Linked DNA regions of Tamandua tetradactyla. The protein of the gene in region 1 interacts with the protein of each later gene in a biochemical or structural test. Links are inferred from orthologs where the notes say so. Each region holds a gene or a part of one and is shown in the gene's direction. Other genes may lie near its edges.

The links.
Region 2: of the proteins of CHEK1 (region 1) and DTL, one has a biochemical effect on the other in vitro, tested with the Homo sapiens proteins (2 studies listed by BioGRID). The link is inferred for Tamandua tetradactyla from reciprocal best matches to the Homo sapiens genes CHEK1 and DTL.

Annotation. Positions count from the first base shown.
Region 1 is NC_135334.1:11,923,775-11,939,619, reverse strand, and holds the start of CHEK1 (serine/threonine-protein kinase Chk1), read left to right. Parts: upstream 1-8,905; 5' UTR 8,906-8,971; intron 8,972-9,734; 5' UTR 9,735-9,744; coding exon 9,745-9,809; intron 9,810-10,626; coding exon 10,627-10,850; intron 10,851-12,031; coding exon 12,032-12,096; intron 12,097-12,187; coding exon 12,188-12,257; intron 12,258-12,627; coding exon 12,628-12,816; intron 12,817-13,255; coding exon 13,256-13,360; intron 13,361-14,764; coding exon 14,765-14,860; intron 14,861-15,845. UniProt on the Homo sapiens protein: Serine/threonine-protein kinase which is required for checkpoint-mediated cell cycle arrest and activation of DNA repair in response to the presence of DNA damage or unreplicated DNA.
Region 2 is NC_135330.1:70,017,548-70,033,546, reverse strand, and holds the start of DTL (denticleless protein homolog), read left to right. Parts: upstream 1-7,870; 5' UTR 7,871-8,161; coding exon 8,162-8,213; exon of another isoform or gene 8,214-8,321; intron 8,322-15,999. Other genes in the region: INTS7 (integrator complex subunit 7), read right to left, coding at 7,614-7,707. UniProt on the Homo sapiens protein: Substrate-specific adapter of a DCX (DDB1-CUL4-X-box) E3 ubiquitin-protein ligase complex required for cell cycle control, DNA damage response and translesion DNA synthesis.

The DNA of each region.
Region 1 (15,845 bases):
TTCTTTTGGGTATATAGCGAGTAGTGGGATTGCTGAGTCATATGGTAGATCTATACTCAGCTTTTTGAGGAACTGCCAAACTGTCTTCCACAATAGCTGCACTACATTACTTTTGCCACCTGTAATGAATGAGTGTTCTTGTTTCTCCACGTCCTCTCCAACACTGTTTTCCATTTTTTAAAATACCACATTAGTGGGTATGGAGTGGTACCTCTTTGTGGTTTTGACTTACATGTCCCTGATGGCTAATGATGTTGAGCATGCTTTCATGTGCTTTCTGGCCTCTTGAATATCCTCTTTGGAGAGATGTCTTAAAATCTTTTGCCAACCACCCCCCCCTTTTAATTTTTTTTAACTTTTTTTATTGTATAGTTTAACATATATACAAAGCAAAGAAATAAAAAAGCAATAGTTTTGAAAGCACTCCTCAAAAAGTGGTCACAGGATAGATCCTAGAGTTTGTCAGTTTGTCATGGGCTACCATACGATCCTCTTGTATTTTCCCTTCTGGCTGCTCCAGAATATAGGAGGCTGGAGGGCTTAAATACTTTTTTATCATCACAATCGACTTTCCTTTCCTTTTTTTTTTTTGTGAACAATAATATATATACAAAAAAGCTATAAATTTCACAGCACAGCACCACAATTAGTTGTAGAACATATTTCAGACTTTAACATGGGTTACAGTTTCACAATTTTAGGTTTTTACTTCTAGCCACTCTAAAATACTGGAGACTAAAAGAGATATCAATTTAATGATTCAGCATCCATATTCATTTGTTAAGTCCTATGTATAGGACTTATTCTCTGTATAATTCTATCATAACTTTTGATCTTTCCATACCTCTCTTTGGGGTTGTCTGAGCTGTGGCAATTCTAAATTTTTGATATTGGAAGGTTCTGTCACTAATAAGGGGTAGGGAAATGGAACTATCTGATGTTCTGGAGAGGCTGGGCTGGGTTTCAGGACTTATCTGGACCAGGGACCCATCTGGAGGTTGCAGGTTTCTGGCAAGTTACTCTAGTGCCTGGAACCCTTGTGGAATCTTATATATTGCCCTAAGTGTTTTTTAGGATTGACTGGAATGGTTGTGGTTGGGGGTTGGCAGGTTATAATAGGTAGCAAGGTCTACCTGAAGCTTGCATAAGAGGAACCTCCAGAGTAGCCTCTTGACTCTATTTGAACTGTTTCTGCCACTGATACTTTATTAGTTATGCTTCTTTTCCCCTTTTGGTCAGGATGGAATTGTTGATTTCATGGTGCCAGGTCTGGATTCATCCCTGGGAGTCATCCCCCCCATCACCAAGGAGACTTTCACCCCTGGATGTCTTGTCCCACATAGGGGGGAGGACAGTGATTTCACTTGCAGAGTTGGGCTTAGAGTGAGCCACATCTGAGCAACAAAAGAGGTCCTCCAGAAGTAACTCTTAAGCATGCCTATAGGCAGTCTGAATTTCTCTACTACCTACATATGCGTCACAAGAGTAAGCCTCATGATTGAGGGCATGGCCTATTGCTTTGGGTATCTCTAAAAGTATCAGAGGATTCCCTGATGGTCAAGTTTAATAGTTCCATATTCTTTCTCTCTTCCCTCAGGGGACTTTGCTAATAATTTTTGATTATCTGCTTAATATACTCTAGAATGTTTCCAGGCATTACAATAATCTATACGGGATTAAAGGAGCTCTTACAAGAGTAAACATGATCGAGGGCATGGCCTATTAATTTGGGTGATCCTAAAGTTTGACACAGTATCAGGCATTCCCTGATGATAAGGTTTAATAGTTCCATAGCCTTTTTCCCCTCCCTCAGGGGACTTTGCCAATAGTTTTTGATTATCTGGTTAAAATACTCCAGGATGTTTCCAGGCATTACGATAATCTATACAGGATTAAAGGACCTCCTTCTCTATGCTCCCTGTGTTTCAGTTGTTCAAATGAGCTATACAGATAGGTTGAATTAGGTTATGCACTACAGAAAATTTCAGTTTCAGATCAAATAAACCTTTCTTCCATTGGTCTCAAAGAATATGTTTGGTTCTAAAATATAGACACTGTCTTCTTTACCCCTATGTTCTGAATTACTTTAATTCCAACCTGTTCAGCTTCATTCTTATCTCTAAATATCAGGTTATAGATATATAAAACAGCCTTTCAAAATCCAGAAATAATAATCATCACTACAGACTTAATGTGTCTGCTCTAAGAACTTAAAACCTAAGCCCCTGTTTTCTTATAAGCATTTTCTAAAAGTGACCATACCATTGTTGTTTTTTTGTTTCTGGCTTATTTTGTCTCACCAAATGTCCCACATGTTCATTCTCATCGTTGAATGCCTCACGACATTGTTCCTTTTTGTAGCAGAACAACCTTCGTCATAAGTATACACCATCGTTCGCCAATCTACTTCTCTGTCAGTGCATCCTTCAGCCATCTGCATTCATTGGGCATCATGTAGAGGGTGCAAAGTCCACAGTCCATCAACATTCTCAGTTTTAGATAATTTCATTGTTCCCAAGAGACATAAAACCAATAAGCACACCCTCGCCAAATAGGAAATCTAAACTTCCTCTTAAGTCTTGTCTCACCCCATTATTTACCTCTGCTGTTGCTGTGGTAGTGCTGATGGTTTCCTTTTTTTTTTTTTTTTTTTAGCATTTTTAAATTGTGAAATATGACATATATCCAAAAAAGCAATAAAATTTGAAGTACATTATAAAAAGTAATTATAGAACAGATTTCAGAGTTTGGTGTGGGTTACAACTCCACAATTTCAGGTTTTTCCTTCTAGCTACTCCAAGACACTGGAGACTATAAGAAATATCTATATAATGACTCAGCAGTCACACTCATTTGTTAAATCCTTCCTTCTCTGTTATAACTTCTCCTCCTTTGATCTTTCTCCCCATCTTTAGGGGTATTTGGGCTAAGTCCACTCTAACTTTTTTATTTGGAAAGGACTATCAATAATATGTGATAGGTGGATGGAACTAGTTGATGTTTTGGAGAGCTTTGCCCTTCTAGGTGTCAGGACTTATCTGGCCTAGGAGCTATCTGGAAGTTATAGGTTTCTGGAAAGTAATCATAGTGCATGGAACATTTGTAGCATCTCAGATAATGCCCTAGGTGTTCTTTTGGGTTGGCAGGAATGGTTTTGGGTTGAGTTTGGCAAACCATGGTAATTAGCAATATCTAGCAGAAGCTTGTGTAAGAGTAGTCTCCAGAATGGCCTGTTCAATCTATTTGAACTCTCTTAGCCACTGCTACCTTATTTTGGTACATTTCTTTTCCCCCTTTAGGTCAAGAAGGCATTGTTGATCCCATGATACCAGGGCCAGACTCATCCCTTATAGTCATGGCCTTGATCGTCAGGAAGACTTTCACCCCTGGATGTCATGTCCCATGTAGCGGGGAGGGTAATGGTTTCACTTACAGAGTTGGGCTTAGAGAGGGAGGCCACATCCGATCAACAAAAGACATTTTCTGAAAGTGACTCTTAGGCATAACTATGGGTAGGCTAAGCTTCTCCACTACAGAAATAAGCTTTATAAGAGCAAACTAAGGTTTGATCAAGGGCTTGGCCTATTGAGTTAGGAGTCCCTAATGTTTGTGACAGTATCAGGGGTTTCCCAGTGGTAAAGTTTAATAGTTCCAATTTTTTTCTCCAGTTCTTCAAGGGACTTTGTCAATACTGTTTAATTATCTGCCCAACATACGCTGGGATATAAACTATGCAGAATTACAAACCTTTATTCCCATTAAGCTCCAGGTGTTTGGGTTGTTGAAACGGGCTATCCAGACAGGCTGAGTTAGATTATGTGCTATAGAAAAGTTAGGTTTTGACAAAATAAACCTCTCTTCCTTTGGTCTCACACAGGCGAAGTTCTAAAATACAGACAATGATGTCCTTACCCCTTATTCTCATTTACCTTAGTCTTGACCAGATTGACTTTGTTCTTATCTTCTAAGTGAAGCCTGATCTCTTTTTTGGTTTCTTTAATAGTCGTTATATGTACCAATATATGTATATGTATATATGTACCAGGTTATATACATATAGAGCACAGCACCTCAAAATCTAGAAATAATGTTTTCAGCTCTGGACTAAATGTGACTGGTATAAGGGCTTACAATCTAAGCCCCAATTTTCTTATAAGTAGTATTTTCTAAGAGAGACCATACATACTTGTTCTTTTGTTTCTGGCTTATTTTTCACTAAATAATGTCCCCAAAGTTCATTCTCCTCTTTGCATGCCTCATGACTTTGCTCTTCTCTGTAGCCACACAATATTCCATCATGTATACACAACAGTTTGCTATTCTACTTCTCTGTCAATGCATCTTTCAGCTACCTCCATGATGGTTTGCTTTTGAACATAGCTCAATAGCATGCAATAGCAGTTTCCCCCCTGTACCCTGGACTTGAACATTATTTATACAAGAATCGAATCCTTTAATTCTTACGAAAACTCGTTCATGTTTCTAGTGGGAGTCAGTGGGACACATAGGTCTATACAACCCTTTTCAATCTTGTTCATCTTCAGTATGATAATAATACTTCTAGACCCACTAGAGAATCACCTTTGCTCCTATCTATTCACTTACATTGGAATTCAACCTCACTAGCTGACGGTTAACCCATCTCTAGCTTCTATGTATCTCTAAGTCCCCTATATTCTGTATTATAAGCCTCTGATTATACCTTTATGCTGGTCATAAAAGTGGAATCAAACAGTATCTGTCCTTTTGTATCTGGCTAATTTCACTCAGCATTATGTCCTCGCTCATCCATTTTGTCATGTGCTTCAGGACGTCATTTTGTCTTACTGCTGCATATTCCATCGTATGTATACACCATATTTTGTTGATCCACTCATTTGTTGGTGTGCATTTGGTTTGATTCCATATTTTGGTGATTGTGCTCCAATAATGCTGCTATGAACATCAGTGTGCAAATATCTGTGTCATTGCTTTCAGCTCTTCTGGTATATACCAAGTAGTGCTATTGCTGGGTCATAGGGCAACTCGATGTTTAGTTTCCTAAGGAACCACCAAACAGTCTTCCATAGTGGCTGCACCATTATACATTCCCACCAGCAGTGCATAAGTGTCCCAATTTCTCCACATCCTCTCCAACATTTATAGTTTCCTGTCTCTTTAATAGCAGCCATTCTTAGAGGTGTGAGGTGGTATCTCATTGTATGTAGTCTTGATCTGCATTTCTATTTTAGCCAGTGAAAATGAGCATCTCTTCAGGTGCTTTTGAGCCATCTGTATTTTCTCTTCAGAAAAATGCCTATTCATATCGTTAGCCCATTTTATAATTGGATTGTTTGTTCTTTTGTTGTTGAGGCCAACCCTCTTTTAATAGTTCAAATACATTAGGCATTCATTCTTAAAGATGTTTCATGTTTTGCTATATTTCTATTTGGATTCATTTACCCTAGGTTTGCTGCATACCTCTTGTCTTGGTGTATTCCTTTAATAATACTGGTCTTTTTTTTTTTCTTTCTAATTTTTGTTGAACTGCCTCTATATGTGTGTGTTAATCCCATAAATTTATCACCTCTAAATACCTTCCTGAGAAAGTGTGTAGAGAAAAGTATTTTGAGCTCTTGCTTACCTCTTCTCATGCTTGATTAGTTGGGTATAGAATTTTAGGTTGAAAATAATTTTTCCCTTAGAATGTTTTGAAGGCATTGGTCCACTGTTTTCTATATCTTCCAAATGTTAGAGAAATGCAATGCTATTCCCACTCTTAGTTTTTTTGTCTGTGTCCATTCCTCCCCACACCCAACCTAGATCTCTTAGGATTTTCTCTTTGTAATGATTTGAAGTTTCCCCAATAATGCGTCTTAGAGCAGGTCATCTATTGTGCTTAGTACTTTGGACTTTTCATTGTGAGAAGGCAGACTCTTCAGTTCTGAGAAATTTTCTTGAGTTATTTCTGAATTCCAATCCCCCCACCTCCTACCCCCAAAAACAGTTATTTGGATTTTCTGGATTAGTCTCCTAATATATTTTTTTTATTAATTAAAAAAATTAACAACAAACAAAACATTAAGATATCACTACATTCTACATATGTAATCAGTAATTCTTAATATCATTACATAGTTGCATATTCATCATTTCTTAGAACATTTGCATTGATTTAGAAAAAGAAATAAAAAAGACAACAGAAAAAGGAATAAAAAAGAGAAAAAAAAAAAGATTATACATACCATAACCCTTACCTCTCGCTTTCATTTATCACGAGCATTTCAAACTAAATTTATTTTAACATTGGTTCCCCCTATTATTTATTTTTATTCCATATGTTCTACTCTTCTGTTGATATGGTAGATAAAAGGAGCATCAGACACAAGGTTTTCACAATCAGAGTCACATTGTGAAAGCTATATTATTGTTCAATCATCATCAACTTAATATTTTTATATTTGCTGTTTTCCAAATTCTATTCTTTCTGGGAGATTTCCTTAATTTTCTAATCTATTTAGTTTTCTTCTTTTCTGCTCTCATATTTCTAATATTGAAGAGCTTTGTTTGAATATTTTTGACATCCTTAATATTAAAAATTTTCTCAAACTCTTGGCTGTTTGTTCTTTTTTAAGAGTGGAACTCTAAAAGCTGATTGGAAGGTGTTTGTTTTGAATGTAGGCTTCACCCTCCTGTGATCTGGCTGTGCTGTTAGAATGGGGATCCCTGGTATAGGATCCAGATCTTTTCTCTTACACCGGTAAGGTTCCCTTGAGAAAGCTCTATCTCCTAACTCAAGGATATAAGCCAGGCTACTAGCTTTGTAGGAATAGGGTGAGAAAAGGCCAAGAGTCTAAACATAATCCTCCTGTTTTCAGTAAGACCTTGGTGCTTGATGCTTCCCAGGTCAGATGCCACCCATTTACCCTCTTTTTTATATCAGCTTTGGGGAGGGGTAGTTACTTGGGTACAAGAGGAAGAACAAAATCTAGGGATTTATTTGCTTTATTTACAATCTTTCAACCTAGTTTTTAGCCATACCTTTACCTCTACATTCTGAATTATTTGGTATCAACAATTCTTGAGCTTTTGGAAATTCTGTGGTATAGAGTTGCTTTTCTGTTCTCTCACTGCTGGCTTTGAGTGATTAAGTTTTCATGTAAGTTATCTTGCATTTAAAAGCTTTCCACTTTATAAAATTTTTTTTCTCATACTCTTCATTCTTGTGGGTTATTGTCTTTTAAAAATTTACTCTTTAGTAATATTTTAGTAAGGTTTCAGAAGGCAGCAGAGGGTATTGTGTATATTCATTCTTTCATATGCTATCTTTAACTGGTATTCTTGCCTGAAATCTGTATTCCTCTTTTTTTTTCAGGCTAAAAAGATAGTGTAATTTCATTCACACTCAGAGGAGCTGTGCATGTCCTTCTCTCTCATAATATTCTGTTTGCAGTTCAGTGAGGAAACTAGAAAAAAGGGGGAAAATAAACTGGAAAAACTTATTACATAAAGCCCAAACTGTGATATCATGGTTAACACTTCATACATAAGCATTATAAAGTGTTCTGTTCTTGACTTTTGATCTTTCAAATAGATGTGTGCACTTTTTTTAAGATGTGTGTACTTCTGATGTAATATATTTTACCTTATTAACAGTATCACAGTCAATAGCTAGTTATGCCAAGAGTATTTGGCCCAATTTGAGAATTTGGGCCAAATACTTGACTTGAGAATTTAATGGCGACGATGATATTTGTGCCTCCAGTTCCTAGTCTAGCTTACTGTGTGGGCTGGGCAGGGTAAGCACCTACTTCAGTTTCAGATTGGTTTTGCTTCTCAAGCAAGTCCCTTTGCCCAGAATATACTTTCCTACTTAAAATGGTTACTCTACCCTTTTCATTTGCGTTGTAAAATATGGTGCAACAGCTTTTTTTTTTTTTAATTTATTTTTATTTGTACATGGGCAGGCACCGGGAATCGAACCTGGGTCCTCTGGCATGGCAGGCAAGCATGCTTGCCTGCTGAGCCACCGTGGCTCGCCCAACAGCTTTTTTTTTTTAATTTTAATTCTTAACATACAAACATTCCAAACATGCTGTACAATCAATAGCTCACAATATTATCACATAGTTGTACATTTATTACCATGATCATTTTTTAGACCATTGGTGCAACAGCTTTTCGGCTTCTACATGCCTAGTTCTTACACATTAAGAACGCAAAGTACTAAGCTATGCAGACATTTTTGCCTCAAAGTAGTTGGACTAACGCGGGTATGGTTTGGGACCTGTTCACTGACAATACACAAGAACACTGGTTTTCCTGACATCCCTTCAAATGACAAAAGAATAACTTTCTTCCTCCAGACCCTTGCCCCCAACTCCTGTGTGGCCATTTCTGATGCTTTTCTCCCACTCCGCAAAAATACGTTTCATTCTTCACAATATCAATTTTCAACAGCTGTCAAGATTCGGGGCTCCAGAATTATCGGTACCGCCCTTGAACGTCTACAAAGCGCTGTGCATTGCTTAGTAGCACACGGTCCTCACCATCTCGTGGGGCAGCCAGGTAGGATGCTCAGAGGTCACGGCCTGTAGGGTCGCGCAAGTTCGGTCAGCCTTTCCAGGTCCCACGGGGTCAGGGCGCTGCCTGCAAGCACGGAGTATTTTTTCGGGAGGCGCTTCGGCCCACCGGCCCCGCCCCAGCCGAGGTTCCCACACCGGCCACCCATTTCACTCTGATCCAGCCAGTGGTCTTTAAATCTCCTCAGCTAAGATCTTCCCCGACCCTAAAGGAATCGAGGTGCAACCGGCTAGAGTTGGGAAGGAAAACTTCTCGGCACCGGTCAATCTTCATAACCGCAGAGACTGTAATCTGCGTTTCCCTGCTCTACGGCAAGGGGCGCGCGCGTTTACGACAGTGTGACGCTACAAGTTTTGGCGGGAAAAGCGTTGCATTCAGATTCCTGTGGTGGCGGCTAAAGGACAACCTGGTGAGGAGGGGTGGCTGATAGGGTGGATAAGGAGGATGGAGAAGCTCGGGGTCTAGATTAATGAAGAGAGGCACAGTAAGAGACAGTTATCGGTGAAGAGCGAGGGGGACCGGAGACAACTCCCGCGGACTAGTCGTTTGGGAGGGTGGTACCAGTTGGGGGGCGGTCCTCATAGTAGAGGGGAACATGAGAGACTGTTCCTCTGCTGATTGGGAACCCCAGAGGTTTGGGCGCCGCCCGTCGGTGTCCCACTCTTTCCTTCCGCTTCCTCGAACGGTTTGACCCCGCCCCGAGCCCCTCCCGGCCCTTAGGACTTAGTGAGGGTGGGATTGGTACTGAGCAAGGGGGGAGGTGGGGCTGAAGTAGTCAGAGTTGTTCTTTACGCGGACACAAATCTACCGTTCTTACTCTCTTCCTCAGTATTCACCTCTCTTACTCCCTTCCCCAATCTCTTCACCATAAGGGATTTTTTGCCCGGTTCCCCAGCTCCTCTATTCAATTTCCTTTAGGATCCGAGAAAGGCGGGGCTTCAGCTTTCAGTTTGCGTGGAAATGGCGGTGGGGTGGGGTTGTGATTTACCCAACAAAGTGCCTAAATTTGGAAAATTTGATTGTAGTTTAAAGACTTAGATAAAACTTGGATGAGATGTAAGGGAAAACTAAGAGTTGTTATTTATAGTTGGGGAATCATGGCCAGGTGAGAGCTCAGTGACTTTACAGGTGATTGAAGCTCACACTTTTTCCATCTTTCCTACCTTTTACAGCCTTGGAGTCATGGCAGTTCCCTTTGTGGAAGACTGGGATTTGGTGCAAACTCTGGGAGAAGGTGCCTACGGAGAGTGAGTCCTTTTACCCTACCTGCACACCTGCTTAGTATTTCTGTCTGTTGTCTTGAGTACATATTCCTTGTCTTGGAGTTGTTTACAATAATACAGTCGTGTTTAGAAAACACACCTTTACATTTAAAAGCCAGTAATTTTGGAAACTGATGTTGTAAATCTTTTGTAAGGATTAGTGTTTTTTTTTTTCCCCATTTAAAAAAAGTTCCTTTAAGAGTTGGAAGAGACTTCTGAAGTCATTGTTTCCCCTTTCACACGTTCCTTCTTGGGTTGTAAACATAATGGTTAAACGAGCAAATAAGCAGACTGTGGAGACAGACTGCCTGGTGTCAAGTAGTCCTTTATCACATACTGGTCATGGTAGCGTAATCTTAGGCAAACTTCTGAATGTCTTTTTGTGCCTCTTTTTCCTCCTCTATTAGATGGCAATAATAGAACCTACCCAATAGGTGGTTAGAATAGTTTGCCAGAGGTATATAGTATGGGATTAATAAGTGTTAGATATGTGATTAAATTAAACAGATAAAAGATGTATATAGGTGATGTGGCCTAGAAGTGCTGTTATCACAATTTATTTTATCAAATGTTTATTAAATGACTTGCCTGTATAGTATAATGACTTATAGTACTTCACATTTCAGAAAGGAATGATATCTGTTGAGAGCATGGCAGAAACTTTTTCCTTGGTTTCTCCTTGGTAAAGAAAATAATGAAGATAAAATAGTTTTGGATTGAGTCATGTTTAATCTTTTGAGGTTTTAAAAGGGCTATAATACAAATGTTTGGAATATTATAACTCTTTCTTTTCCTTTTTAAGAGTTCAACTTGCTGTGAATAGAAGAACTGAAGAAGCAGTTGCAGTGAAGATTGTAGACATGAAGCGTGCTATAGACTGTCCAGAAAATATTAAGAAAGAAATCTGTATCAATAAAATGTTAAATCATGAGAATGTAGTGAAATTCTATGGTCACAGGAGAGAAGGCAACATCCAGTATCTATTTCTGGAGTATTGCAGTGGGGGAGAACTTTTTGATAGAATAGGTATGGTAAAATAGTGTTCCAAATCAATCTTCTAAAAACTCAAGATAATTATTCTGCTAAACAAAGTTCAAAATTTGTGTTTAAATTTTGGGTCTGATATTTGGTCATTCTTTCAGAAGTGCTTATGTAACCTTGAAATTGGAGTAAATTAGCCTGTTTTTTTTTTGACTTTGGTTTAAAATATAAGTGTATATAAAGTCACTGGAAAGAAATTTTTTTTGCACATCATATTTGTGATTTTGATTGGGATTACCGTTTTATAGAGTTTAAAAATTATATACTTCATAAATGCAATGTCTTATTGCCTACCCAGTTTTTTTTCTTTGTAGCATTCTGGTTTCATGAAATCATTGCATACATCCCAAGATCCAAAATAATAGCATATTATTAGATTTCTTCTTAACATACTTATTAAGTAATATAACTGAGAACCTTCTAGGATTAAAAAATATATGTTAAGTAAATTCTGAATTGGTTCTTATATGTTCTATGTTGATTCAAAGGATTATTACTACAGAGCACATAATTACATAAAATGTATTCTGTGGACCTATTCAAAGCAACTGTATTAATACTTGATTACTGTAATTTCTAATATGTATCTTGGGAGAGAGTTGAGAGTAAACTAAATCAGAAGTTAATGAGGGAGATCAAAATATAAAATGATAAAAAAGAACATTTGTGAATAAAACTTTGTTCCTGAAGGATAGGAGAGGTGGTATGTACTTTAAGTCTATTGTTAAATTTTTAGTGAAATTGGCTTAGGTTTTCCCAGGCTTCTGTACTGGCAGTTAGATTTCAGGAGTGGGGAAGATATTGTTCTATCATTAAGATATTGAGGGAGGATTTGAGGGATAATAAATCAGGCTAAGAGTAAGCAGAGGCTTTCTAAGCATGGTTTACATTCTTAATTTGGACAATAGCTTATAATCTCTCTATAATTTTCCCTTGATATATTTCACCATATTACAAATAGGGAAATGAATTATTAAGTATCATGTGGTAGTGGACTCGTGACTCTTAACTTAAGACTGTTTTTGCTAAAGTTTCTTTCTGTTAAAGTACAGTGAGACAAATGTTTAAGCTTAAAATTAAGAGTTGACCATGTGGTTGATGACTGAGTATATTTATCTGAAAAACTAACTTTCATAATTACTTTTTTTTTTTTATAATTCCTATAGAGCCAGACATAGGCATGCCTGAACAAGATGCTCAGAGGTTCTTCCATCAACTTATGGCAGGGGTGGTAGGTACCATTATCTCTTACCTTTTTACTTAAACTTAGCATAGATGAAGTAATTTATCAAATTATGGTGTGTTTTCCCCCTCACTCTCAGATTTATCTGCATGGTATTGGAATAACCCACAGGGATATTAAGCCAGAAAATCTTCTATTAGATGAAAGAGGTAAGTTTGGCATTTTGTCTCTGCTACCAAAATTATTTTAATATAACCATCCAGGGGAAGGACCAAGAATTTACATTACTGAGATTTCACGGCAAAAGAATCTGAAAAGTCAAAGAAATTTAAGAGATTTAGTATAATTGGACTTTACAAGTCCTTTATATAATTGTGGGTGAGACAGAGAAATCTGTAGCTCACGCTTAGATAAGAATAAGAATAATTTGAAGCGGTTTGTTAATGGATTAAGGAAGGGAGATTTCTATTGGAATACCCTGGACTTCAGTCTTGTGCTCTTTGCTCTTTTTAATCTGTAAATGTTTATCTATTTAAAAAACATTTCTATTCAATGCCATCATTTTTTCCTTTGCTTTAGATAACCTCAAAATCTCTGATTTTGGCCTGGCAACAGTGTTTCGGCATAATAGTCGTGAACGTTTATTGAACAAGATGTGTGGTACTTTACCTTATGTTGCTCCAGAACTTCTGAAGAGAAAAGAATTTCATGCAGAGCCAGTTGATATTTGGTCCTGTGGAATCGTACTTACTGCAATGTTGGCTGGAGGTAAGAGCTATTTAGTTATGATAAAATTGCTGTCCTATGGTAATTCAGATTTGTAATGCCAAAATATAGACAGTAAACTAAGGGGATCTATTTATATAATAGCATTTTAATAGTAACTGTTATTTATAACTAACTTGGAACTTTTAACCTCAAAGGTTTTCAAAATGAGGTATGGATGAGTTATTATATGAAAAATCACTGTAGCCATCTCTTTTAAGACTTCATGTCAACACTTTTGGAAAGATTAGGACAGGAGTGGTTCATCCGTCTTTGAGGTGTCTCTAAAGTTTCTGTGAGTTGGCATTCTTAGTTTGTAACCCTGTTGAATTAATTTGTAGGAAACATTTAATGAATTCAAATTATTATTTTTTCTCTCATGAAATAATAATTATATAGTGATATGAACACTCAGAAAACTGGGACTTTTCTCTTTTTGTAGAATTGCCGTGGGACCAGCCCAGTGACAGTTGTCAGGAATATTCTGATTGGAAAGAAAAAAAAACATACCTCAACCCTTGGAAAAAAATTGATTCTGCTCCTCTGGGTAACTGGGTTAACTTGATTGAAAGTGTTTATTGGACAGTGAATTCTAGTGCTATTTGAATTTTTTTAATTTATTTTTTCTTTTTAACTTTTAAACAAATTCACATAAATAATCCACTATCCTTGTAGATAAAATAGAAAACTATAAATAAAAATTTAGGAAAAGAGCACCTGTGTAAATCCAGCACGAGAAATAATCTTTAAAAAATATTTTGATTGCGTTCTTCTAGACTTTGTTGGGATAAATATATTTTAAGTATGAATGTTTTTACAGAAATTGAGATAGTACACATGTTATTTTATAATCTGGTTTTTGTCTTAATGTTCTTGAACATTTTTCCGTGGCTATAATTGCAGGTCTACATCATTCTTTTTAAAGATTATGATGATATTCTGCTGTATAGCTATGCCTTATTGTGCTCATTCAGTTTACTTTATTGGAAATTTAAGTTTTTGCTTAATTTTTCACTGTTACAAAAGAGATACTTAATCTTTACACATGTCTGTAAATCATTTACTTAAAATAAAGCTCTAAAAGTGAAATTGCAAAGTCCAGGGTACATGGAGTTTTTAATTATTCAGTTTATTTTGTCGAAATTGCTTTCCAGAAAGTTCATACCACTTCATCATAATCTCATCAGTTTATTTTAAAAAATGATTTAAAAAAACGTGGTTAAATCTAACAGTGCTGTAAAAAAATTACTCGTTATTCATTTTTAAATGTATTACCAATAAGATTACATACCTTTTATGTATTAATTACCTTTTTTGTCTATTTTTATAGGTTGTCTTTTGCCCATTTTCAACAGGGAATTTTATTGCTTCTTTTATTTTGTGTGAATTTTTTTAGTATATTAATGTCATTAGGCCTTTCCATTTGTTGCAAATATTTTTCATCATATGTCATTTATTTTAATTTTGTGTATGTTACTTTGACATGAAATTTTATGGTTTTAATTATTCACATTTATCAGTTTTGAACTTTGTGGTTTCATACTCTCTTGTCATGTTTAGAAAATAGTTTTCTACTGTTTATGTTATTTAAAAAAAATTCCATATTTTCACTGAATATTTTTGTGGCTTCATTTTTACACTTAAATCTTTGGTCCATTCAAAAATAGTTTTGGTGTTGGGAGATATATGAATTCTTTTTCAAGATAATTATGATATATTAAGATTATTGTTGACTGTGTTACTGTTCCTTAAAAAGTTATTGGAAAGTAAATTTTCCTTACAAATTAAATAATATAATTATTTATCAAATTAAATAATATAGTAGCATCATTCATTCCTTTTCCCAGATATAATATTTAGATATAAGCAGACCAGTAGAAAATGTGTCCCTATGATAAGCACATTTACTTTTCTAATCTTCATGACTCTTGTCTTAATGTTTGATTTTCAGCTCTGCTGCATAAAATCCTGGTTGAGAATCCATCAGTAAGGATTACCATTCCAGACATCAAAAAAGATAGATGGTACAATAAACCACTCAAGAAAGGTAATATTCTTAGAATACAATTATTTTTCTCAGTGAACATCACAAATCAACAACACAAGAGGGGTGCAGTCTCTTTCTTCGTGGAGTTAATAATGTCTAACAGGAAAAATGGAAGTATAAGACATCATTTTAAGTTTATTACTAATTAGAAAGGAAAACATTTGGGTACTATTGTTAAGTATTTGACCAAGACTTAAGGGGCAGAGAATGCTTCCTACCTAGGGAAATGCCATTAAATTTTAAGAAAAACACTTTAAAATCAAAGAGGACCTAGTCGGGTAAGGTGAGTAGTAGATCTGATTCTCTACATTTACAAAGTCTTGGAATTTAGAGAGACTGGTGCAGTTGAGGAACTAGGGCAAGGCCAGTACAGTATGTGCTCTGTCTTCATTTTATCACCAGTGTATAGCACAGGTGTACACAGGCATTTAGTCACTATGTTTTGAGTGTATGACCAATTAGAAGTTTGAGACAAGTCAGAGAGATAGATAGCAGTCCAGTTGTGGGGACATGTTAAGGATTTCAGGTTTTAATTTAAGGCCATTGGGAAACCTTTGAGCGAGTTTAAGGAAATGGCTTGACCATATATGGTCAAGGTTTTAGAAGATGTTTCTGGCTATATGTATTTTTTAAAATTTTTTATTAATTAAAAAAAATTAAAAGAAAGAAACAAACATTCTTAATATATGCTCATTCTGTTCTACATATATAATCAGTAATTTACAATATCATCACATAGTTGCACATTCATCATCATGATCCTTTCTTAGAACATTTACATCAATTCTGAAGAAGAAATAAAAAGACAACAGAAATATAAAACGAAAACAGGAAAAAAAAATTTTACATACCATACCCCTTACCCCTCCCTTTCATTGATCACTAGCATTTCAAACTAAATTTATTTTAACATTTGTTCCCTCTATTATTTATTTTTATTCCATATGTTTTACTCATCTGTTGACAAGGTAGATAAAAGGAGCAT
Region 2 (15,999 bases), on another chromosome or scaffold:
TGCCTACCTGTCTAAGAGGCTAGACTATATAGCAGCTGTATGGCCAAACTGCCTCTGGGCCATTGCCACCACTGCTATTTTGGTTAAAGAAGCATCCAAATTAACTCTGGGGCAGGACTTAAAAATAGTGGCACCACATTCAGTCGAAACATTACTAAAAAGCTCCCCTGAGAAATGGCTCTCAAATGCCCAGATAACCCAATATCAAGTACTGCTACTAGATCCTCCAAGAATCTGCTTCCTGAAAGCGATGGCCCTTAACCCCGCCACCTTACTCCCGAATGATGACCCATCCGAGCCCACCCACGACTGCTGCGAGGTCCTGGAATCCCTCAAAAACTTGAGGGCTGACCTCACTGACAACCCCTGGCCAAATCCTGATGAAGAATTATATACAGACAGGAGCAGTTATGTCTTAGAAGGAATCAGGTATGTGGGGGCAGCAGTGGTAACTGCAGACCAGGTCATCTGGGCTCAGGCCCTAGGACATGAGACTTCGGCCCAAAAGGCTGAACTGATAGTTCTGACCCAGGCTCTAAGGTGGGGAAAGGGGAAGGTTGTCAACATCTACACGGACAGCAGATATGCCTTCGCAACTGCACACGTCCACAGGGCACTATTTCAGGAGTGGGGACTTTTGACAACGGGAGGAAAAGAAATAGAAAATATACCAGAAATACTCGCCTTTCTAGAGGCTATCTGGTTGCCGAAAAGGGCAGCAGTTATACACTGCAAAGGACATCAGACTGCCGAAACTCAAATCGCCAGAGGAAATGCCCTGGCTGATAAAATGGCAAAAGAGGTTGCCCAAAAACCAGTGGGGATGCTGCAGATACTTTCTGTCTTACCGAGACAGGTACTGTCAAGCCCTCCAAATTATACTGGCGAAGAAATTAAACTGGGTGAAACTCTGGTCACTAGAACAGATCTGGATGGTTGGAAAATTCTCCCAGACAGGAGAATCCTGGTGCCAGAGCACCTGGGGCACAATTTGGTTGCCCAGGTTCACCAAGTACATACCGGGGCAGTATGAAACTAACTGAACTCTTACAGAGAAATTACTACATTCCCCGACTGCAACATCAAGCCTGGCAGATATCATCCAGATGCCACATCTGCACCCAGGCAAATTCTGGCCAAGGGAAGGAGGTGCCCCAAGGGATTAGAATGAGGGGACAAGCCCCAGGAGAACAGTGGGAAATAGACATCACAGAAATATTACTTGTTCTATATGGATACAAATACCTGCTGGTTTTCATTGACACCTTCTCTGGATAGGCATTCCCTACCAAAACCGAGATAGCACAAATAGTAGTAAAAAACTAGTTTTCGAAATTGTCACCCGATTTGGCCTCTCGACTGCAACAGGGGCTGGCGTTCATCACCCAAATTACCCAATTGTTAGCAAAAATATTAAATATCAAATGGAAATTACATTGTATTTATAGGCCACAGAGTTCAGGGCAAGTTGAGAAAATGAATAGAACAATAAAAGAAACTGAATAAAAGCTCGAGACTGGCGAAAACTGGGTGAGTCTCCTTCCATTTGCCCTCCTAAGGACTAGATGTACTCCCTACGTTAAGGGAATTACCCCATATGAAATCATGTTTGGGCGACCACCCCCACTAATTCCTAAATTGGGGGAAAAGAAAATAGCTGAATTAAATAACCATTCTCTTCTAAAATCATTACAGGCCCTGCAATCTGCTACCCAGCACACCCGAGAACTGAAGACAGCCCATCCGGGACCAACAAACCCTGCCCCTAACAAAGATCTATTTCAGGTGCAGCACGGAGACCTGGTCTGGATTAAAAGGCTTCAGTTAGCCACCTTGGAGGCCCGGTGGACGGGACCCCTGCCAGCAATCCTCACAACCCCAACAGCAGTAAAAGTTGTGGGAAACCGACACTGGATTCATCACACCCAGATCAAGAAAGCTGACCCAGATCAGCTCCCTGGAAAATGGACCATCCAGCGAACCGAGGATCCACTAAAGATAAGACTTTCCAGAAATCCCTCTGGGTCCTCCTGATATCCCTGGTGGGGGTTGCGGAAAAAAAAACCTTCACCAGGTTATAAACTATACCTGGGAACTCATATATAAAATGGTGGATGGAGTAGTGGTAGCTACAACCACCACTTCCTCCTAACCAACCCTCCACTTTGATCTCTGCCAACTGTTTGGACACCTAGGGAAGGGGAGTTATGGTAACATTATCAGATATGGGTGTACTACCCCCATCAGCAAAAAGGCTTATGGCATACCCAATACTATGTCTGTTCTGCAGAGGAAAATTTAAACTGCCAAGAGAAAAGCCAATATTATGGTGCCAACTGGGGTTGCGAAACAATAGCAGAATGGACTAACCAAGACTGGTTCATAACCTTAATAAGGGCTCCAGCCCATAACCCCAACAGTTGCACCCGAGCCACCTGTATCCCAATGATTATTGCTATCCCTTCCTGGCGTATCCAAACCTGGGCGAGTGGAAAAACTTGGGGAATGAGGTTATATGTCTCAGGTTACAACCCAGGCACCAGTTTCACAATTCAAAGGTTCTTTCCCCATAAAACAGACAATCCCATAGGACCTAATCGAGCTCTCAACCCTGTCATTAAACCAGCACAGCCCCCCAGACCCGGGGCCCCACCTCTGGTAGGCTTGAGCTCAAAAGCCTATGCTACCCCAAACTCCCAAATAAATTCCTCTCCCTCCCCTAAAAAACCACTGCTCAACATGTTAAATTCAGTTTTCCAGTTCATGAATCAAACCAATCCACTTATTATTGAAGACTGTTGGCTTTGCTTAAACCCTGAACCCCCTTATTACACAGGAATAGGAGCTAATATCTCCCTAGGCCTCGCAGATACCCATATCAGAAACCTCTCAGTCCAAGAGGCACAAGGCCAACACCTATGCAGGTGGAGAAAGGAACCAAAACTCATCCTAGGAGATCTCCAAGGGCAGGGAACCTGTATTTATTCTGAAAAGTTTAATCTAGGGTGGGCCACAGTGGCTCAGTGGCAAGAATGCTTGCCTGCCATGCCAGAGGACCGGGTTCGATTCCCGGTGCCTGCCCATGTTAAAAAAAAAAATTTAATCTAGCTAAATCTCCCTATAGTGACTCCTGCGGTCTCATCATGTCACTAAAGGACATTTTGACTTCAACCCCGGATGGATGGGACCACCTCCCTGTAGCCCCCCACAGTACTTGGTTTGCCGGCACATCCGGTATTACCCTCTGTATAACTCCCCCAATAATGGCCGTCGAGGAGGAATTTTATATCTTAGTTCACATTATCCCCCAAGTATATTATTATTCTGGGGAAGGGGGTAGGGAACATTTAGAAATCACTTACTGGACCAAGCAAGCCCCAATCTTGGTGCTCTTCCTTGTCAGACTGGGCACTGCAGGATCAACTGCAGTCGGAACTTCAGCCCTTATCACCGGGGACCAAAATTTTAAAACTCTTAGCAAACAAGTTGACCTGGATCTTAGTGAATTAGAAAGCTCCGTCAGTCATTTGGAAAACTCCCTAAATTCACTGGCTGATGTTGTTCTCCAAAACGCAGAGGCTTAGACCTCCTGTTTCTAAAACAAGGGGGGTTACACATGGCCCTCGGAGACAGCTACTGCTTCTATGCCAATCATTCTGGAATAATTAGAAACAGTCTATTCCTAATCCGTAGCAGGTTATGAGAGTGGGAGGAACGCCGGAAAGCTGAAACCAACTGGTATGAAAATTTGTTTTCCTGGTCCCCATGGCTGACCACGCTCTTAATCACCATAACAGGACCCCTAATTCTCATACCATTAGGCTTAATGGTTGGACCCCATATAATAAACTGTCTGAACTCATATGTGCAAAAAAGAATACAAGCTATTAAATTATCAGTCCTTCGAACCCATTATCAACAGATTTATAATCAAAATACAGAAACAATTATTTGATTCTCATAAAACCAGTGGGGAATGTGGGGGGTCAGGAGCAATAAATCAGGCCCTAGCAAGAAGAAGGTATCCGGAGTCACAAGATCCAGGGCGGAAAGTTCCCAAGAGTTAAAAATTGAACAATAATCACTGTTAAGAAACTAAAAGAATGGGATGTATTTTGCAAGAGCTAACGGCATTTTTCTGCTTCAGTAGATGAGCTTGCTTGCTTACAGCTGCAAACCAAGATGTGGCTCTAAAAAGATAATGCCCCTTTCCTGCTTCTGTGGATAAACTTGCGTTTTTTGCCTTTATAAGCCCCCCTTGAGAATCTCTCAGGGCTGCTCTCTGAATCGTCCTTCTTGGGGGTTTCTGAGGCAGTCGCTGGCTGGCTAATAAAGACTCCAAATTGGCTTGCAGTTTTTTAGAATTGTGTGGTCTCTCTTTTGCTGCGCCCCACAACAGTGTTTGCCATTCCTCCACTTTATCAGCTAGGCTTTTCCTGATTATCCTACACAAAATGATAAAATCAACCCCAACCACATACCCAGTTTTCTCTAGCCCCTTTCCCTTGTTTCATTTTCTTTATAATATTTATCATTCTTTGCACAATAAGTTTAATATATTTTATTTTCTTTTTCTTCTTTCTAGAATATAAACTCTATGAGAGCAGGGGTTTTGTTAACTGCCATATCCCTAGCATAAAGCATCATAAAATAAGTAGTGTGTATGAGTGTGTGCGTTTGTGAGAGAAACGGAGCAGAAACTCCTATTAAAATACTTCTGAAATGGTATTATTTGCAACCATAAAAAAAAAAAACACAAAAAATGGACAAAAAGACTTAAATAGACAGAAAATATACAAATGGCCAATAAGCACATGAAAAGATGCTCAAAATTGGGGAATGACATTAGCCATTAGGGAATGCAAATCAAAACCAGAATTAGATACCATTTCATACCTACTAGTAGAATGGCTACTATTAAAAAAACAACAACAGAAAAGTGTTGGAGAGGATGTGGAGAAACAGGAACACTCATTCATTGCAGGTGGTAATATAAAATGGTGCATCTGCTGTGGAAAACAGTCTATAGATTACTCAGAAAGCTACGTAAACAATTACCATATAATTAAACAAGCATACTCAAAAGAATTGAAAGCAGGGACTCAAACAGATATATGCATACTAGTGTTGCAAGAGGCATTATTCAAAACTGCCTAAACATGGAAGCAATGCAAATGGATAACAGACAAATGGATAAATAAACATGATATACAGAAACAATGGAATGATTTAGCCATAAAAAGGAATAAAGTTCTGATACATGCTACAACGTGGTTGACCCCTGAAGATATGTTGAGTGAAATAGTCAGACACTAAAAAACAAATATTGTTTCATCTCACTTCTTTGAAATTAGAATATGCAAATTCAGAGTCGGAAACTAGAACACAAGATGTTGCCAGGGGGGGTGTACAGAATGGGGAGTCAATGTTTAATTCGTACAGAGTTTCTGTTTGGGGGCACTGGAAAAGTTTTGGTAATGGATTGTGGCCATGGTAGCACAGCATTGTGAATGTAATCAACACCACTGAATCATATATTCGAAAGTGGTTTAAATGGGAAATTTTAGGTTGCATATGTGTAATCAGAATAAAATTTTAAAAAAATCATATAACTGTACAACACAGTGGACTCTAATAGTTTTAAGGACTATAGTTAATAAAATGAATTATAGTAATATTGTAATATTGTCTCATCAATTGTAGCAAAAGTTTCACACTAACACCAAGGGTTAATAATACGGAAGATTGTGTCTAAGGGGGCATATATGGAAATTTCAAACTTTCTGCATGATTTTTCTATAAACATACAACTTCTAGAAGGAAGGGGAGAGAGGGGGAGAGAGAGAGAGAGAGAGAGAGGGAGAGAGAGAGGGAGAGGAGAGAGAGAGAGAGAGAAAAAAAAAGAAAAAGAAAGGGAGGAAGGTAGGAAGGAAGAAAGGAAGAGAGAGAAAGGAAGAGAGAAGGATAGAGAGAAGGAAAGAGAGATAAATAGTTTCCTTGCAGTACATACTGGGAAACTGATCCAGAAGTTTGAGAACTAAGAAAATTAAAACTCATAGCCTTCTGAGCCTATTGACTTTTGGCTCACAAAACAAATACTTTCATTAACAAGTGAAAGACAATAGGATTCAATATTTAAAACACCATATGTAAATGAAACTGGCCTTAACATAATTTAAAAGGTGCAGCATGGTGATGTAAGAAAGGACAAGAGTTTTGTTTTTATCTTGTTTTAAATTCTCTTTCAGATCCTGAGACTCATCTAGAACATTGCTAGGAGGATTGAATATATGATCACTTAGTATGTACAACTGATGCCTGATTTATGGTTAAACACTCAATAGTCGGCCATTTACAGATCTAAAATGTTTCTATTTCATCTCTTCTTTAAGAAGGAAAACAATTTGTTAAATTTCTTTTCTTCGCATAACCGCAAATTTTTAGGGATTATGTTTTTCTAGACTGCTCGTTTCTTCTAAGCCCCATCCTGATTCATGTCCTACAACCAATGTCCTACTGTCAACATAGGACAAGTCCCACTGGACCAGTGGTAGAAAGTATCTTTAGAAATGTAAGAGATATTAGATAAAACCGAGACCTGTAACTCTCACTGCGGAATAAGAAAGTATTAGAATAAGGAAGGAAAGATACGGTAGTGTTTTAAGAACAATATAATTTCATAATTTTACATTTCAGTGGGGGGGCAAAAGCTTTTATAAATGAAAGCAAAGAGCAACATCACCTTCTTGGTTGATGGGGATGCACTAAAGATACTGTGACTCAGCCAAAGGACTATTCAATTGAGGTACTGTGACATTTTTATGCTAATCAAAATGATATAAAGGGTCAAGAAAGTCTGAGAAACTCTAATCTAGACCAAAATACTAAAAATGCTTAAATTAAAAGAACCAAACCAAATAAAACCCAAGCCCCCCAAAAGTTAACAGGCATGTCCAAGTTGCATAAAAGGTAAGTGGCTCAAAGCAGTGTTGTGACTTAAAGTCCAGTTCACAATACACGCATACATTAGCTACAGATTATCAAGAATTAACTGTACTACCAACATACAAAATATTTCCCCCAACACAATAAAAAGTCCTTGTAGTACAATAAAACAAAGGTTTCATTTTAATACTTGACTTCTTTACTGATAACTATCCACCTTGTCTTCCATATCCATTTATAAGAAGGAAGGGACATCTTCTTAGCATTTAATACAGACCTCTTTTGCATACACTTAATATTTACAACAATCTTGCCAGGTCATAGGTACTGCACCCACTATCAGTTGTCACTCAGCATTTTTAGAAACTAGCCACTTTAACTATTTGGAAAATCGGGGTACTATGCCCTCAAGTGGTCCAAACAGGGCATCACCAGAGGTCGCTACTTGTTCATCGGTGCAAGGCCAATCAGCGGATCCTGCAGGGTTTCCTCAATTTCCCCCAACAGCCAAAGCTCTAGCCTCATCCAGAGCACAAGGGCAGGGGTTGAGTCCCCGCCCAGAAGGTACGCGCACGCGCCTTTCCCGACGCTCCCCAGGCCAACACCACCTGGGGGCGCCACGTCCCCCCCCACATCTATTTCCCCACTCAGTCCGCTCTTTCGAATACCTTTGTCTAATTCCATAAGGGCAGAGTTAGCATCCAGTTCCTGTTCGCCATAGCCAGCATCTGCCAGGAAAGACTTAGTTGAGTTTGACGCCATGGCCCGAACAGTTTCTTCCCTAACCTATTCATAAAGGTTGCAAACGCTGTCCCAACACCGCCATCTTCTCACACCGCCTTCTCGCGAATTTTTCCGCCGTGCGCTGGCATTCCGTGTTACGCATGCGCCCTGGCCACCACGCGGTTCGCCAACGCCCGTTCAGTCCCCCGCGCAGGCGCTCAGGGAGCTATTGCGCTCCAGGTTCCCGCGGATGGGAGAAAAGGAGGCGGGGATAGGGCGGGAGAAATGACTCTAAGGCGTCCGGACGCCGCGGCAGGAGCCAATCAGAGATCGTTACGTCAGTTTGGCGCGGAGTTTGGTGGCCGGAGCTTGCTGTGGCGGGAGTTGGAGGCACCAACGAGTCGTGTTCTGAGAGGCGCAAGCCACGATTCCTGCTGCACTTGGGGGCATTTCCGCAGGTTTCTTCGCGGTTGAGCCTTCTCCTTCGGTCCAGATGCTCTTCAGTTCGGTGCTCCGCCAGCCCCAGTTTGGCGCCCCGAGAAATGGTAAGTAACGGTCCTAACCGCTGCTTGTTTGCTGGCGGTATCCGTCTTCCGAACACACCTCAAACCAGGGCAGACTAAAATTCTGTTTCCCAACCGACTTTTCCCACGGTAAGAATGAATTAGTGTTGACGCGGACTACTAAGTAAGCTGTACTTTCATTCCCTCAGAATACTTTTTTAAAAATCACAAATATAGGTTGAAGGTGAGAGGAAAGATGAATTAACTGGCCTCCAACGTTCCTTAGGGCCTTAGGTCTGTGTGTTACGCGTTAACCGGGAATCGGCTGCATTTTTTGTTGTTTTTGTCGTTCTCTGTATAATCATATGAGATCCACCAGGACGCCCTGTATTCATTTTGTTTAATTAATTCAGTTGTGTAGAAGCTTACTGAGCCCTTATTTGCTGTGTTTGGAGGGCCACCGATAAATATGACCGGATGCACTGTTAGGAAACTCGGTCACGCAGAGAACGCAGGACATTTCCTGCTGGCAGGGTCCAAATCTCCCCCACCCCCACCCCGATTAATATATGTTCATAAAAATTGGAAATTATTAACTGGACGATCACCATGACCACACCCCCAGACTGTTAATAGGTTGTTTATTCCAGATGTTTTTCGATGCCAGAAATAATACATAGGGTGCTTATTTACAGAGATGAGATCAGAATGTTTTGTTGTTCACTTTAGTGGCTTAACTTGAACATATTTCTATGTTAGTGCGTAGAAATCCAGTTTATTCCCTCAGTTCCTCCTTGACAAGAAGAGTTTTGAGTTTCAATTTGGATGTCATCTACCTGAAACTTTCTAATAGGGAATTACTACCCATTTAAAAGTCGAGTGTACAGGGAGTCTATCATTTCCTTGAAACCATTTGAAAAACAAAAAATGTGAGAAGAGAACCTTCTATGTTTTAAGTGGTAGGTTTAGGAAAAGAAGGTTGAGAAGTAATTCCTCAACAGCCCGCTCTTAATTTAAAACGTTATGCCATCCTTACCTACTCCCCTCTTAGTCTTTTAAATTATGTTCTGTATGTTTCCCTTGTCATGAGTGGCAACATAAGGCTTTGTCTTTGGAGTTAAACAGCCTGTGTTCTAATTCCAGCTCCACTCCTTACTATCTGTGTTGAGACAAGCTATTAATATTTACCCTGTATTTTGTGATGAATTTTCTCCTAAATCTCCAATCTATCTGTCTACTTCTTCCACTTCCTCTTTCTCTTTCACAAATATTCATGCATTGCTATGTTAGGCACTGCAATTTGTGGGACCATCGCCTATCCCTTCAATTTGGTATTCCAATCTTAGCCCCTTTTCCTCTTCTACCCACTCCTTTGGATAATCAGAGCAATAACTGGGGCATCTTCCACTACTACCTATAGCCTTCCAGATCCTATGCTCTTTTTAAAAAAATTTTTTAATGTTTTTTTATTGTGAAATATATATACAAAGAAAAGAAAGAAAAAGCAATAGTTTTCAAAGTACATTTTAACAAGTAGATACAGAACAGATTTCTGAATTTGTTACGGGTTTTCATTCATTCCACTATTTCAGATTTTTCCTTCTAGCTGCTCCAAAACACTGGAGGCTGAAAGAAGTATTAATATAATGATTTAGCATTCATACTCATTTGTGAAATTGTATTTTCTTTGTTATAACTCCTCCTTCAATCCTTCTCCTGTCTGTAAGGGTCTTTCGGCAATGCCCATTCTGATTTTTACATTTTGAGAAAGGGTGTTGACAATGAAGGATAGGGGGATGTAATTAGTTGATAATTTTGGAGAGGCTGATTCCTCTGGATTTCAGAAGTTATCTGGCCTAGGCACCCTCTGGAGGTTATAGATTTCAGGAAAGTAAACTTACTGCATGAAACTTTTATAAAATCTCCATTAGATCCCTAGATATTCTTAAGAGTTAACAAGAATGATGTTGGTTGGGGTTTGACACAACATGGGAATAGGCAATATTTAGCTGAAGCTTATATAAAAGTAGCTCCCAGAATAGCCTCAGTACTCTATTTGAACTCCCTGGGCCACTGAGTCTTATTATGTTGCACTTCTTTTCCTCATTTTGGTCAGGAAAGTACTGTCAGTCCCACGGTGCAGGGCCAAACTCATCTCTTAAAGTCATGTCCCATGTTGTTAGGAAGACTTCCCCCCAAAGGTTGTGTCCTTAGTGGGGAAGTAATGATTTTCCTTGCAGATTTGTAGACCTTAAGCTTTTGACTCATTCTTACAACAGCTGTGTGGATATCTGCACTGAGCTCGTCAGTCTCATAGCCATCTAAAACTCACACGCCCAAAAACTGAACTCATTACTCCCTCAAACCTGCTTTATTTCCTATTTTAGAGAGTGTTCCCAGTTTTAAACCAGTCTTCCCAACCAGAAACCTGGCAGTAACTCTTCACCCCATCTTGAATCTGTTCTAGCTTTACCATGCCATTTCCCTACCTTCTTATCTGTACTGTTTCTCAATGTTGAGAAAGGCAAGTTTCTCAAATGGCCTTAGTTTCCCCCTCTCCAGTTTTTTCTTCAGATTGTTGTCATAGATCATTCTAAACTAGAAATCTGACTACTCTTCTGTGCATTTTCAAGTTGATAAACTAAAATTTTTTATCATAGGTTTAAACAGATGCAAAGAATATAATTTCTGGCATATTGTGAATACCAACATCTAAAAATAAAAATGCTGCCTCAGTCTTTTAAATGTGTCTAGTAGAATATAAACACTACAGTGATTTTTTTATTAATTTTTTAATTTTTTTAAAATACCAAAAAACACCAAACAAATTCAAACATTTTGATCATTCCGTTCTACATATATAATCAGTAATTCACAATAGTATCACATAGTTGCATATATATCATCATGATTATTTCTTGGAACATTTGCATCTATTCAGAAAAAGAAAACAAAAAAATTCATACATACCATACCCCCTACCCATCCCCCTCACCAATCACCAGCATTTCACTCTAAATTTATTTTAACATTTGTTCCCCCTATTATTCATCTTTATTCCATATGTTTTACTCATCTGTTGATAAGGTAGATAAAAGGAACATCAGACACAAGGTTTTTACAATCACCCAGTCACATTGTGAAAGCTGTATCATTATACAATCACCATCAAGAAACATGGCTACTGGAACACAGCTCTACATTTTCAGACAGTTCCCTCCAGCCTCTCCACTACATCTTGACTAACAAGGCGATATCTATTTAATGCATAAGAATAACCTCCAGGATAACCTCTCAACTCTGTTTGGAATCTCAGCCATTGACACTTTATTTTGTCTCATTTCTCTTTCCCCTTTTGGTCAAGAAGGTTTTCTCAGTCCCCTGATGCTGATTCTCAGTTCATTCTAGGGGTTTTCTCAATCCGTTGATACTGAGTCTCAGCTCATTCCAGGACTTCTGTCCCACATTACCAGGAAGGTCCACACCCCTGGGAGTCATGTCCCAGGTGGACAGGGGTAGGGTGATGAGTTTGCTTGTTGTGTTGGCTGGAGAGAGAGGCCACATCTGAGCAACAAAAGAGGTTCTCTTGGGAGTGACTCTTAGGCCTAATTTCAAGTAGGCTTGACCTATCCTTTGTGGGGTTAAGTTTCATATGAACAAACTCCAAGATTGGGGACTCAACCTATATCTTTAATTGTCTGCACTGCTTGTGAGAATATCAAGAATTCAGCTTGGGGAAGTTGAATTTTCCCCCTTTGTCATCATTCCCGGCAGGGGACTTTGCAAATACTTTTTTATTCACTGTTCAAATCACTCTGGGAACAACCAACAAAATCTAATGTCCTACTCAAGGTTCCTTGAACTTATGCTGTTCAATTAAGCTGTCTACATAAGTTGTATTAGAAAATGCACTAGTCAAAATAAAAATTTTGTGCCAAATAAACATTTTTTGCTTTAGTCTCATACATAAAGTAAAATTCTTAAATATTAATTACCATCTATTTTCAGCACCCTGCAGTAATGGCGTTCCTTTGTTCTTCCTCATGCAAAAACATTTTTTGAATTTGTACATTTAGTCACTTATCATTGTGCACTCTAGGCATTCCTAGATTATACCATCTCAGTCTTTATTGTCTTTCTGATTTCATTTGTGCCCCCAGCCCTCCTCCCTCTATCGTTCTCACATTCAGCTTCATTCAGTGTTTTAACATAATTGTATTACAGTTAGGTAGTATTGTGCTGTCCATTTCTGAGTTTTTACATTCAGTCCTGTTGCACAATCTGTATTCCTTCAGCTCCAGTTACCTAATATCTTCCCTTATTTCTACCTCTTGATGGTCTCTATTACCAATGAAATTCTCCAAGTTTATTCACTAATGTCAGTTCATATCAGTGAGACCATACAGTATTTTTCCTTTTGTTTCTGGCTAATCTCATTCAGATAATGTCCTTAAGGTCCATCCATGTTGTTATATATTTCATAACTTTATTCTGTCTTACAGCTGCATAATATTCCATTTTATGTATATACCACAGTTTGTTTAGCCACTCGTCTGTTTATGGACATTTTGTATGTTTCTGTCTCTTCACAATTATAAATAATGCTGCTATAAACATTGGTGTGCAAATGTCTGTTTGTGTCCTTGCCCTCATGTCCTCTGAGTAGATACCTAGCAATGGTATTACCAGGTCATATGGCAATTCTATATTTAGCTTTTTGAGGAACCACCAAACTGCCTTCCACAGTGGTTGTACCATTTGATGTTCCCACCAACAGTGGATAAATGTGCCTCTTTCTTCACATCCTCTCCAGCATTTATCATTTTCTGTTTTATTGATAATGGCCATTCTGGTGGATGTGAGATGATATCTCATTGTGGTTTTGATTTGAATTTCTCTAATAGCTAGAGAAGTTGAGCATCTCTTCATGTACCTTTTGGCCATTTATATTTTCTCTTCTGAGAAGTGTCTGTTCAAGTCTTTTTGCCCATTTTGTAATTGGGTTGACTGTCTTTTTGTTGTTGAGTTAAACAGTCTCTTTATATATTCTAGATACTAGACCTTTGTCTGATATATCGTTTCCAAATATTGTTTCCCATTGTGTAAGCTGTCTTTGTACTTTCTTGACGAAGTTCTTTGATGTGCAAAAGTATTTAATTTTGAGGAGTTCCCATTTATTTATTTTTCTTCAGTGCTCTTGCTTTGGGTGTGAGGTCTAGGAAACCGCCTCCTAGTATAAGATTTATAAGATATTTCCCTACATTTTCTTCTAACAGTTTTATGGTCTTAGATCTAATGTTTAGATCCATTTTTTTTTTTTTTTTTTTTAAGTATGGGCAGGCACCGGAAATCGAACCCGGGTCCTCGGGCATGGCAGGCAAGCATTCTTACCTGCTGAGCCACCGTGGCCCGCTCTTTGGATCCATTTTGAGTTAATTTTTGTATAGGGTATGAGATATGGGTCCTCTTTCATTCTTTTGCATATGGATATCCAATTCTCTAGTCACCATTTATTGAAGAGACTGTTCTGTCCCAGGTGAGTTGGCTTGACTGCCTTATCAAAAATCAGTTGTTCATAGATGAGAGGGTCTATATCTGAACACTCTATTCTATTCCATTGATCAGTATATCTATGTTTATGCCAGTACCATGCTGTTTTGACCACTGTAGGTTCATAATATGCCTTAAAGTCAGGTATATGAGACCTCTGACTTCATTTTTTTTTCTCAGGATACTTTTAGCTATTTGGGGGCACCCTGCCCTTCCAGATAAATTTGGTTATTGGTTTTTCTCTTTCTGAAAAGTAAGTTACTACAGTGATTTTATAATCAAATCTGTTTTTTTAATTTCACAGAATTTATAATATAATTTAATTTTCTGCTTGAGAAGTTCTTTTATTCTTGATCATATTCCTTTGTTTCAAAAATGTATTTAAATTAATGTTTTTTTGTCATCATAAGGCTCCATGTGTTAAAGTTTCCTCTGGTTTGAATAATTAAAATTAGTATTGGAATGCAATTGATTAAAACAATGTTGATTACCAATTCTTGATAAGTAATTTTTTTTTAAAGAGATGGATTTCAGTGAGTGTTTATGGTGCCTTTATTAAAGGAATTATGCAGTTGTCTCTTAGTTAGGGTCCCAAATTTTATACCTTGGGTCAATGCAAAGTATAAGATCAGTTGGTACGTATACCTTTCTTTTGGAATGTGAAGAAAGACACTGATGAAAGGGGGAGTAGGGAAATAGGAGAGCCTTAACCTTCTTGGACAGATCAATTTCAGAAATGTAGAAGTTGAGTGTCTGGAAATTGATTCTCTGAAAACTCTTCTCCTTTTGTGTAATCCTTGGAAAATCTGCGCTTAAACCCGGGGACTTAATTGTACATTGAATAAAGAATGTGTTTTTCCAAATAAGTGTTGTGGAAAAAAGCATTCTCCACATACTCAGGAAACACTATAGCACTGTAATGATCCCAAAGTAGTTCAAAGTGGTAGGTAGATGGAATGTGTATTGTGGGGAGTTTTGAAATAGAGGGGCAGTGAAGACCCAGTCATTAACCTACTGGATTTCGATATTGGTCTCTGGGCCAGTGAGACTAAGGGGTCACTGTTTAGATGTAGGAAATTATGTTTCCAAAGCATATCATCTTCAATTTCACTTAAATTGTTTGAGTTTCAGCCCTTCTTGAAATCATGGGTTGCAGTCAGTAGATTATTTTGTTTTATCCCAAACCACAAATATACATTTACATAACCTTTTGTAAAGAGGTTTTTATTTTTACAGTTCATTCTGTAAATGGATATATGTGAACTCTACAACATAACCACTTACTATATTGCTTCTTTAGTGGTCTTTAAAAACTTGTTTCTAAGGATATGTAACCTTGAAATTGTGAGATAATATTCCCAGGAATAATTACTAAATCTGGATTAAATTTCATTGTCTCCTTTTCACTAATTCTTTCCTGTTATCTCTATGAATATTCAACGCTAGATTTGTATGAGGTCATGTCAGGCTAAGATGTCTTCTCCGAATAGTACTTTTTGATTATGTGAGAATTGCAAGTGCCCTAACATGAGAGAACATAAAAGAACTAAAATCTAAGTCAAATTCTTCTTTTTGAGGGATCACGTTTAGAGGAAAACGTGATCCTTCTGTTGGCGTCAAATAGTATTGTTTCTCCTGCCCCAAAGGTTGTTATTATTTATCATGAGCATTTTGTATTGGTTTTCTTAATACTGCTGGAATGCAATATACCAGAAATGGAATGGCTTTTAAAAAGGGAATTTATTGGGCGGGCCACGGTGGCTCAGCAGGTAAGAGTGCTTGCCTGCCATGCCCAAGGACCTGGGTTCGATTCCCAGTGCCTGCCCATGTTTAAAAAAAAAAAAAAAAGGAATTTATTAAGTTGAAAGTTTACAGTTCGAAGGCCATAAAATGTCCAAACTAAGGCATCCGGGAAAAGATACCTTGACTCAGGAAAGGGCAGATGATGTTCTTGGTTTCTCTGTCATCTGGGAAGGCACATGGCACATGGCAATGTCTGCTAGCTTTCTCTCCAGGCTACTTTCAAACAGCTTCCCCAGGGACATTTTCTTTTTGCATCTCCATATGTCTCTCTGTTGGTCCTGAAGCTTTTTCCAAAATGGTTCCTTTGTAAAGGACTCCAGTAGAGACCTACCTTCAGTGGGTGGAGACATATCTCCATAGAAATAACTTAATCAAACAGAGCCCACCCAACAATATTAAATTAGGATTAAGGAACATGCCTTTTTCTAGGGTGCACAACAGTTTCAAACCAGCACACACTTCTATCATTCTGTGT